Linked DNA regions of Caenorhabditis elegans. The protein of the gene in region 1 purifies or fractionates together with the protein of each later gene. This does not show direct contact. Each region holds a gene or a part of one and is shown on either strand. Other genes may lie near its edges.

Region 1 (4,180 bases):
GCGCTCAGATCTTTGCGAAGGACATGGACGCTATCAGAGAGAATTCAATCTTTTTGCCCGACGATAGTGACAGTGACTCGGATGATGATCCAGTTTTTGGAGTATACAATATTCGTTATACGACATCTGATGAACGACTCTTCTATATCAGATTTTATCGCTCTAGTCTTTATATTAAAAAATCCGACTGGAACCCAAAGTATGACTTTACCGATTTCTAGTTCGTTTAATTTAATTTTTGTTGTTTTTCTAGTTATAATTTTTGTTGTTTTTCCTAGTTATAATTGTTGTTGTTTTCGAATTTTATTCAATAATATTTGTGAAAAGATTGTTCTCTAAACGAAAAAATGCGGGTACGGTAGTCTGGAAAGGACGTGAAGTGTTTGCGGACCGGGCCTTTAATTTGACGAGCAAAGTTTCTTACAGATTTTTTAAATTTTTATAAAACGTTTTTTACTTTGATGTTCCGTTAAAATTCAGTTCCAATTTCTTAAAATTAAGTCAATAGGAGCTAAATTTCGTTTTTCCTCCAAACCATGTAGTTATTTTTATTCAAAATCTTGATTTAGCAGTTTCCCGGCGATAAATTGAAATGTCCACCTCTCTACGCGAAAATCAGCTCATTATTCGAGCATGTATTCTCTACGAAGCTCTCGACAAGAAGCCGATTCAAGAATCGTACAAAAATTTCTGTAGAAAAGTGGGGAAAGACGTCATGACATTTTATGAATTCGATTTTTGGTATTGGAGATTTTACCACGGAAATCACGATTTGCATTATGATAGAAGGTATTATTTTTATTCAAAAAAATGATTATAACTGAAAAATAATGAATAAGAATTTCAGCTTCGACCCAGCTCCCTCTCCCATGTCGGACATGCCCATCAATGTGATTCAAAAAATTGTAGGCTACGTGGATTCCATCGACACGTAGGAATTTTTATTTATATAAAACTAGAATATCAAGCTAAAAAATTTCAGATTGGCCCTGATGAAGGTATCGCGAAAATTTCGAAAAATTGCACAGAAGAGCGATGTTAGAATTGAAGATCTTTCTGTGATGTATCAGGAAGATGAAGAATGTTGTGAAGTTGTCTCAAATTGGCGTCATAAAATCACTTACGCACGGGATAGTTACAGTTGTAGGATTACTTATCAAAATGGAGAAGACGAAAGAAAGGAAAAATTTGTCGGAGGAGAGAATTATGTAGAGTTGTGCAACAATGATCTCAAGTTATTGATGGAAAATCGAACGGTTCAATTGAAAACTTTTAGTTTCACAGTTTTTGAATCAGAAGAAGAAGGCAATGGATTCCGCGAGAATCGCATCAAGGATATCACGAAAATTCTAAACTCCACAAAGAGCTTGATGACAAAAACTATAAAATCGACGAATCTATCGTTTCCGGAATTCGCTTCTCTGCTTTCAATCTTCCCGGCTAAGAATCTGCAAAAAATAATTTTCGAAGCGGGATTTCAACCTACACATTTTGGATACAAGCAGCTCGTCAGAATGAATCAATGGAAGATGGCTAAGGAGTTTCATGGAGATTGATCACTTTTTGAATTTCGATAGTTTTGACGTCAAATTATTGAGATTCGGTTCAGGAGATGCAATTAAATTACGAGATGTAAGTAAGATTTTGAAAATAATTGTTAGAATTTTGTAAACTTTTTCGTTTTCAGATGATTGAAAATTCTCCCGATTTCAAGGAAGCTCGAATCGCTGCGAAGTATATGGATCACGATAGAGAGGACGGAACATTTTTGTTCGACGATGCATATGATGAAGATTCTGAATATGAAGACCGCGAAACTAGCTATACAACACATGACAAGAGAGTATTTCACGTCACCATTCGCGAAAATATGTTATTCATTAGTAAATCTGACTTGAAACCGGGTTTCAACTTTTAATGTTTAGTTTAATTTAATAAAAAGTGCATTACAGGATTATGTTTTTTTCTTAGAAATGAATGAGGGGATTTGATTTTTTGTTTCAGCTCAAGCTAAATAATTCATTAATTCTTCGAATTTGAACGCTTCTGAATTAAAATTTCAACGTTTTGTTGCTTTATTTTGTTATTTCAAACAAAAAAAGCAAGCCAACATTTTCGAAAATTTTATATCGGTGTACGGTAGTTTTCGAATTCTTCAGTTTGCGGACTGAACATTTAAGTTGACGAGCAAAATAGTTTATCGAATTTCGCAACTATTTCTTCCAATTTAAACAAAATTGTAATCAAAATCTAAAAAATGTTCTTTGTGTCTTGATTCTAAATATGTTATTAATTTGCATATCCTTAGTCATTACGAGACGCCAAAAATTCAGGCGTCATAAAAAGAAGACACATGTTTTTTCGGCTAGTGTTCTCGCCAAGAAAAATATTTCTAATGAACACTCACAAAACACACAATAATCATTTTGTTTTCTTTTCTCATAGAAGATAATGCTTAACCACAAGCATACAATTTTCGTCACAAGCACTAGTTTGTTAATCTGTTTTATTGCAAATTTCATTCTGATCTACATCAGTTTATTCCATAGCAAACAGATTCAAGGAACCTATAAAATAATGGTCGTGATGTTTTCAACGTTGGGATTCTTGTTCTCCGTTTCAGAATTTATCGCAAGGCCTTTTTCTCACAATTATAACAGAGCATTAATTTTATTTAGTATTAATGATTGGATTCCTTCAAACAACTTTCTAGAAATTGCGATTCCCATTTGGATGACATTTTATCTTCTGATAATTTCATTCATAGGAATTCAATTTGTATATCGGTACCTATGTCTCTTCCATTCTACAAAAATAAGGTATTTCGACGGATCTGGCAAAGTACTTTGGATTTCTTATTTAATGATTCCTGCGATATGCTACTGTGTCGCATTTTATCAACTTCTGAGACCAAATGATGATTCCGATGAGTACCTGAGGTAGGTATGTTGTGGTTTGAAAACGCCTTTAGGCCTACGTAGGCTTCCTTTTTTACCGATGGCTCACTAACTAAATATTAATAGATTAACTTTTCAGAAACATTATTCGAGAAAACTATGATCTTGAAATTTCTACAGTTGCCCGATACATCTTAATTCCTTATAGTGATACCAATACGCTACAATGGAAAACTCTATCCCTTTTCATAGCAGCAGGAACTATTATGATTATTCAATATTTTATTGTAATATTTTTCGGGGTCAAATTGCACCTGAGAATGAAGGAGAAGCTGAGGCAATTCTCTGCGTGCCAGGTGAAATTCCAATCGCAAATATTCAAAGCTCTCGTTACTCAAACCGTTGGTCCCACCTTATTCCTGGTTTTGCCATCTGCTCCGTTCTTTCTGGCAACTCTATTATCACCTTATATTGACATGGAGATTAACTGGCAAACTGGATGGCTATATTCTTTTATTGGACTCTATCCAATATTTGATAGTATCGCATTCATATTAATTGTTTCCGAGTACCGAAAATATGTTAGAAGTGAGAAAATAGCAACGGCAAAATTCTATGATAAAATAATTTAGGTAAATTATTCTGCAAGACTAACAAGTATCCTCGAGAGTTTGGCAGCAGGATTTCAATTCGCGCAGTTCAATTTATAAATACTGCAACTGTTTCAGAGACGTAATAAAATATTATACATAGGATGAAAAATTAATAAATTTTTAATTGCAATTCTAACGATGTTCATTGTTTTCACAGCCTTTGGTTTTTTTGGTGGCGCTGAATCATAATGAGATGCCAATTAAGACACGCATTGCAAAAATAAGACGTCATAAAAAACATCTTCACGACTTCAGCCACAACAATACCATATTTGTTGCTCTTTTTTTTCATACATAGTAGAAAATGTTCAACCACCAGCACACAATTTTTTTCACAAGCACAAGTTTGCTAATCTGTTCAATATCGAATTTCACTTTAATCTACATCAGTTTATTCCATAGCAAACAGATCCAAGGAGCCTATAGAAGAATGGTCGTGATGTTTTCAGCACTGGGATTTTTATTCTCACTTTCAGAATTTATCGCAAGACCCTTTGCTCACAATTACAACAGAGCATTAATTTTGTTTAGTATTAATGATTGGATTTCTTCGAAGAGCTTTCTAGAGATTGCTATTTCGGTTTGGATGACTTTTTATCTCCTGATAATCTCATTCATAGGAATTCAATT
Region 2 (7,104 bases), on another chromosome or scaffold:
CGTTGGTTTTGATAACTTCCTTACTTTTCCCTTCTCTTCACGGCGCAGCTATCACGGTTCAGCTACTAAGCGGCAAACGCGCTCCACCGAGCAATTCCAAATTTCCAGAGATAATTTTTTAACGTACATTTCATTTAGCACGTGGAGTCAGAAAGTCCCATTTCGCTTTGATCTTCAAAAAATGCGGGAGTTGAGACGCAGATCTCATCTGATTTTTTATGGTTGAGAGCGTGCGGACGTCACAATTTTTCTGGGAAAAAATGCCGGCATTTTTTGTAGATCAAATTGTATTGAGACCGCCTGACACCACGTGATTTAGAAGTATTAAAGTAAACTCAAAAACTTTAGGCCACTTGTGTGAAAACTCTTCCACAACCCCAATTTTCAAAAATCGTATGTGCTAACTGTATATATATAAAGTTATTGAAATGAAGTATTCACAATACATAGCATAGGAATGTGCATAATTCGGCGGCCCTCCTCGACCACGGCCGGATAATCCGTTTCAAGAGGTGTGCAGTGTAGTCACTCACACACACACAAATGTGTAAATAATAAGCATATACATAAGCAACAACAGACAAAACAATCACTTGCGCGCATGCCCAGGCTTCCCGGGCGGGCGGGCTGAAGGAAGGGGGTAACCCCTTTTGTTTTCAAAATATGCCACTTTTTACCAAGATTATGTCAAGCACACCATACGATACTTTTTCGATGGAAAAATAATATTTTATTGCCGAAATTTATTTTTCGAAAAATTTTGCTCAAAAATTTTTTTCAATAAAATCTGAATTTTTTAAGCATTTAACAAATGGTTATTACGGGCGCACAAAATTCTGAGAATGCGTAATGCGCAGCATATTTTATGCGCAAAATATCTCGTAACGAGAAGTACAGTAATTTTTCTTGATGACTACTGTAGCGCTTGTGTCGATTTACGTGCTCGATTTACGAAATGCATTATTCGTATTATTTTTTGCCTAATTTTAATATTTTGTCGGTAAATGTATGATCTTAATTCATTTTGATGCGCGTAAATCGACACAAGCGTTACAGTAGTTATTTAAAGAATTACTGTAGTTTTCGCTACGAGATATTTTGAGCGCAAAATATGTTGCGCAATACGCATTATTAGAATTTTGTGTTCTCATAATATCTGAAATGGCAGTTCAAAAATTTAAAACAAAATTCTCATTCAAAGATTACCCATGCATCTTTAAACTTGGAGTATCAAATTTTGTGATGTTTTTTTTTAGTTTTCTGGAAATTCATCCGTGCGCCTTTAAATTTAAGTAGGGTATATTAATTTTTCGACTTTCTCTTCAGTTTCCAGAAAAACTCTTAATGGGCACATAAAATTTTTAATCCAATTTGTCACCTTAGGTCTCGCAGCGAAAATATTTCAGAAATTTTTATTTAAAAAAAAAGACTTTTGCTATCGATTTTTCTGAAAACTGAAAAAAATATTTTACCAACTTTTTGCATTAGTATTGTTGCAATTTCTGTCAAATTTTTCAATCTTCGATCATCTTAACCAGTTCCACGCGAATTAATTTTGATTTTTCATTCCCAATTTCCGAAGGTCATTTTGACCTGATATATCATATAAATTTTCTCCATCTCTTTTTATCTTGTCCCATAAAAAATGAACACTCCGATTTCTGATTTTCCAAAACATAAATTAATTTTTGCAATTTTTCAGCGATGCGCATACCATTTGGTTTTATTCTATTCATTGCATTTTCAACGACACGTAAGTTGATGACCGATAAACTTCTAGTTCACGTTTACCAATTTTTTACCACCATGCAAATCCTGGTGGCTTAATTTTGCACTTTTCCAGACCGATCTGAAATGTTGGTTTTTAGCTTTTCTTGTGTGGCCTAGAAACCCTGGTGACCTAGGTTTACAAAATTTCTAGGTAACGGAAGAAACCTTAATGGCCTAGTTTTCCTGAGGCCATCATGGAAATTTTGCTGGCCTATTTTACCAAAATTGTTTAGGTCACAGTGCAAAACTTGGTGGCCGAGGTTTCTACTTTTCTAGACGCTTATAAAAGTTTTCGTGGGATAGCTTTTCCTCGCAATAAACCCACATGGTCTAGCTTCTCATTTCATTTTCTAGGCCAAAATGCAAAACCTGGTGGCCTAGAAAAAATGTAATTTAACTTTTTCAGTTTCCTTCGCGCAAGACGAAAATTCTGAAGATGTGTTCGACAAACCGCTGGCAAAAGACACAACGACACCCGTAATGCCTGATAATGATGATATGCCGATGATGGCTGTTCCGAAAGAAGAAATGATGAATGAGGGGTAAGAATCGGAAAATTGTGTGATGAAAAACTGTTAAAAATTTGTAAGGGAGTAGTCGAAAAGAGGTCTTGCCGATGTTTAGTAAACCTAGGTCAGCTAGTGAGAGCTGGAGGCCGAGGTTTGAGATTTCTAGGCCAGGAGGCCTAGTTTTCTCCCAGGCCACCACCAAAAAAATGTCATAACTTTCAGATCAGATACCTTCGAGACAAGTACAGAAATGATCGAACTCTCGCCGAACGACACCTCCCTAGAAGTGAACCCAATCCAGAAAACGTCCGTCTTCTCCCCAATAACTCCGCTTGACGGCGGTATGTTCAACTTCTCCCAGGCAACAATCGAAGATGATAGTATGGAGGATCAGGATGAATCCACTGAGAAAACAACTCTCGCCGCTGAAAATACGACTGAAATGATGCCAACCACTCCCTTGGAGGTGATTACGTTCAGCTCCCTTCCGATTGAGGTTGACGAGGTCGCTGATAGACGAGTTTTGAAAGAGAAGGAGATGACACGACCCACTAAACCAGGTGAGAGGTGGTGACGTCTTAGAGGGACGTCGGGGGAGCGCATGGAGTGACGTCATGGGAAGCCGCGCGGCTGCTGACGTCATACTTATGACTCAATTTCCCGGATGCTAATTTTCCACGAAACTGAAAACTTGAAAAATGATTTATTAAGCGACGCCCATAAAACGGGCAAACCCTGTACGGACACGCCCTTAAGTTGGCGGTAAACCTGGAGACACAGTTTTAAAATTGGTTGCTCTTTGGTTTACCAAAAATAAAACTTGCTAAAAGCGTGGCATTATAGCTGGTCGAAGAAGTGGCGAAAAGTATGACGTCACCAATGGCCGAGGTTTTTCTCTTCCAAATTTCCAATTTTACAGTGACCACAACCCAATCCACCGTCGCAGTAAGTGACCCATCAGAAGCTGGAGATGACGGAGAAACACCATTTGATCAAAGTGCACTGGAAGGACTTTTTGAGCAGGATGGAAGTGTTATTGATAGCTCATTGAGCACAGATCAGAGCCCCGCATTCCCAATTCTGAAAATGTCTGAGGAAGAGCCAAAGATTTTGTCGAATATCCCGAAAACTACGAAGCAGATGGTCGAGAGCACTACGACTGGGTGAGTTTTTTTTTGAGTTTTTTCGGAAGTTAAAAATTTTGAATATTGATAAAAAAATTTATTATTTTTTGTCGAAATTATTTTTTGTTCTGATAATATTCAGATTCTTCACAAATGTTTGTTTTAAAAAATTTGCAAAAAAACCGTTCTCACAGCTTTATGGGGTCTGCAGCTTCACCCTACCAACCTGCCGTGGCCTAGAAATTTTCGAGGTGGCCTAGTAAATTCAAAAATCTCTTAATTTTATATTCAAGTATTTTGATTGCAAAATTTAAAAGTGTAGAGCACATATCTGACTAGGGAGTGTTTTAACTATACGGTGCGATCGAGTAAAAGTAAACGTGTCATGCGATAGCTGGCATCTTAGGCTTTCAGAATCTGTAATTTGTTCCGGCGGAAGACCTCTGTGAGTCTGGAAATTTTCATCTGAAAATTTAGTACTGAAATCAGTGCATTTCCTATGGTTAACAGCTTCGAAGCGATGTTTTCGCCCTTCCACCATTGTGGTGAGACTTCTGTTGGCGCCAGAGACAAAAATCCACTGTTAACCATAGGAAATGCAGATTTCAGTACTAAATTTTCAGATGAAAATTTCCAGACTCACAGAGGTCTTCCGCCGGAACAAATTACAGATTCTGAAAGCCTAAGATGCCAGCTATCGCATGACACTTTTACTCGATCGCACCGTATAGTTAAAACACTACCTAGTGAGTTTTGCTGGTTCGGAAGTGTTCATATATTGCAGGAAAAAATTCAAAACTTCAAAATTTTCAGAATGAAATCCTCTTCAACAATGGAAACTACAAAAACTATGGAAACCACAATGGACACAACCATGGCCGAAACCGAGCCATCAACCCTCTCCACTGACGTCACTACCTCCTCCGAAGAGACCACCTCCACCTCATCAGAGGAATCCACGACTTTTGAAGATATTTCAACTGTGCCGGTGGCACTTCAAAACTCATCGAAAGTATTCCTTCCGGCTAAATCCATTCGAACACCAATAGTTTTTCGTATTATTTCACTGGAATTTGTAGAGGAATTCAACGATATTCAGAGTGGCCCTGCGAAGAGATTAGCGAAAGATTTGGTGCCAGCGGTGAGTCAAAAATGGATAATGGATTATTGACATTTGGGAAAAATCGATATTAAACTGATTTTTGAAGATAGTAGTTGAACCTGTTATATTTAAGAATTGCATGGCTGTTGCTCTTTTTTTTTTTTTTTTTTCTTTTTTTTAAAAGAAATTTTTCTTGTTTTCACTAAATTTTCTCTTTTGTTTTCATCTCGCGTGGCCTAAGCCTAAGCCTGAGCTTAAGCCTAAGCCTAAGCCTAAGCCTAATAGTAAGCCTTTGTGGAAAATTTTGAGTTAGACTTCAATATAGATTTAGACTAGTTATTTTAAAAATGATCTGAAAAAAATCAATTTTAAACAATTATTGATTTTTTTCCAGATCGGAGAATTCATCAATTCCATTTCGGGAGACGACAATTTTGTGAATGTTGAAATCAAGTCACTGACCAAAGGATCAGTGGTTGTCGGAGCCGACGTGCTCACCAAAAAATCACTTGGTGATGCTCAAATGGCTGTTAATTTGTGAGTTCTTACCGATTAGAAATATTTTATTACCATTTTTTGAGGAAAACTCTAAAAAATCGATTATCAACGCTATCGACTTTTATCGAAAAAAGTAAAATTTAGAAAAAAATATCGATAGTCAATTTTATCGATTTTTGATTTGTTCGGGGTTTCCGTAGGAATCGTCTATATGATAGATTTTTGAAAAATGATTAGTAAAATCGATAATCGATAATCGACTTTAGTTCAATTTTTGGAAAAAATTTAGATATTAACTTTTTCATTGATTTATAGGTTTTCCGGGGGAATATCAAGTTAATTGTATCAATTTTTCAAAAACTTTCAAAAACTTTCAAAAAAATCGATAATTGATTTTTTTAACATTTCAGGTTCGAAGCCGCATTTTCACGCAATAACTCTATGATTTCGGATTACAAGATTGATTCGTTGAGTGTTACTGTTGACGGTAAGTAATTATTGATTTTTTCCAAAAAAATCAATAATTTCCAGGAATGACGTCACAAGCGTACATCGATTCTATTTCCACGCAAACTTCATCATATTCCTTATCATCGCTGATGATTGTAATCATCACTTTCGCATTGGTCATCATTTTCGGATTGGCGATCTTCATTATCATGGTATGTGCCTTTAAATGCCGCAGCATGGCCTAGAAAACTCGGCCGCCAAAGTCCGTGGCCGAAGTGTTGTGTTTTCTAGGCCATGCGTCTTTAAAAATCAATAAATCTCGCTCAGATCACCACAAAACGGCGACGTCAATCGACGATGAAGCTGAGCATGGACGACACGATCCGTAGCAACACACCGGAATCCGACGACGCTCCGCATAACGTGCATTTGTGAGTTTTTCGTGGCGAGACCCTGAACAATTTTGAATGTTTTTTTTAAATTTTCGATTCACTCGAAAAAGTGGAAAAATCGATTTTTTTATCCAGAAAATTATTTAAAATTATTAAATTTCTGCCACCGTCCATTTTGTGGGCGTGTCATTGCCTCACAAAAAAATTTCCAGAATGTCATACGGAACAACGCCTAGACCATCTCAAAAGCAGCCGGGACCAATCACAAAAACACAAATCGACGAGACGAGCTCACCTATGTATTGATTTATCGATTTTTTTTCAATTTCTTAAATATCGATTTTTTTGGATTTTAAAAATTGATTTTTATGATTATAAAAAATCGATTTTTTTGATTTTTCCAAATCAGATTTATTGATTCTAGTGATTTTTAATCAATAATCAACAATATAATCGATTTTCAAAAAATCAATAAAATTTAATTTTAAAATTCAACATTATCGATTTTTCAAATTGTTCAAAATTCTTCCGAATTTCTCATCTCATTTTCTAGGTTACCTCTTCTCTCATTTAACCCATTTTTCCGACAGATTTTGAGCCAAGCTCCGCCACCCGCCTCGGGGCTCCCCCGAGAAACCTCTGGTGCGCGCCCTTTCTGTAAATAATCATTTTCCCGTCCGTTTCCCCCTACTTGCCATATCATCGATATATTCCGTTTATTTATTGGATAAATTTTTTTGCAAACAAAAATTTTATTTAAAAAAAAAGAAATTTGAAATTTCAACAAATATAGTTACAGGCCAAAAATCGGTAATTAAACAATCAAATCGAAAAACATTTAAAAAAAAACAACAAAAAATGATACAGACTTTTAAATCTCGTTCTCTAAAGATCGAGCTCGGTGAAGAACTGGCGTCCGTCGCCAATGTCCTTTCGATCGCAATACGGTACGGCCTTAAACTGGCACACTTTTTTGCCGTTCACGTCGAAACAGAACTCCTTGTAGCACGAAGAGCACAGATAGCCTGGCGAGTTGGGAAGCAGATTGTCGTGGTCGACGATCATCCAGCTGAAAAAATTGGATTCAATTGATGATTTTTGCCTTAATCGATTCTCTTTGGATTTTTTTTTCGAAAATTCGAACTCCGATAAAAACTATATTTTTCGGGGGTTTCACAAAAAATTCCGAATTTCTAAATGCTACTACTCACTGCGCCGACGCCTCCTTGCACGTGTCACATGCAATTCTTCTGAAATTC

What was found. Proteins that work in one complex are often made in the same cells at the same time.
Region 2: the proteins of str-57 (region 1) and Y48G1BR.1 fractionate together in Caenorhabditis elegans (co-fractionation; one large-scale study listed by BioGRID). This does not show direct contact.

The regions. Positions count from the first base shown.
Region 1 is NC_003283.11:15,868,719-15,872,898, forward strand, and holds str-57 (Seven TM Receptor), read left to right. Parts: upstream 1-1,937; 5' UTR 1,938-2,451; coding exon 2,452-2,939; intron 2,940-3,036; coding exon 3,037-3,485; intron 3,486-3,529; coding exon 3,530-3,633; 3' UTR 3,634-3,680; downstream 3,681-4,180. Other genes in the region: fbxa-197 (F-box domain-containing protein), read left to right, coding at 1-221; str-56 (Seven TM Receptor), read left to right, coding at 3,855-4,180.
Region 2 is NC_003279.8:253,756-260,859, reverse strand, and holds Y48G1BR.1 (SEA domain-containing protein), read left to right. Parts: upstream 1-1,702; 5' UTR 1,703-1,704; coding exon 1,705-1,753; intron 1,754-2,176; coding exon 2,177-2,312; intron 2,313-2,501; coding exon 2,502-2,839; intron 2,840-3,198; coding exon 3,199-3,442; intron 3,443-4,216; coding exon 4,217-4,544; intron 4,545-4,899; coding exon 4,900-5,042; intron 5,043-5,413; coding exon 5,414-5,490; intron 5,491-5,534; coding exon 5,535-5,665; intron 5,666-5,780; coding exon 5,781-5,884; intron 5,885-6,057; coding exon 6,058-6,151; 3' UTR 6,152-6,593; downstream 6,594-7,104. Other genes in the region: snpc-3.2 (snRNA-activating protein complex subunit 3), read right to left, coding at 6,731-6,914, 7,057-7,104.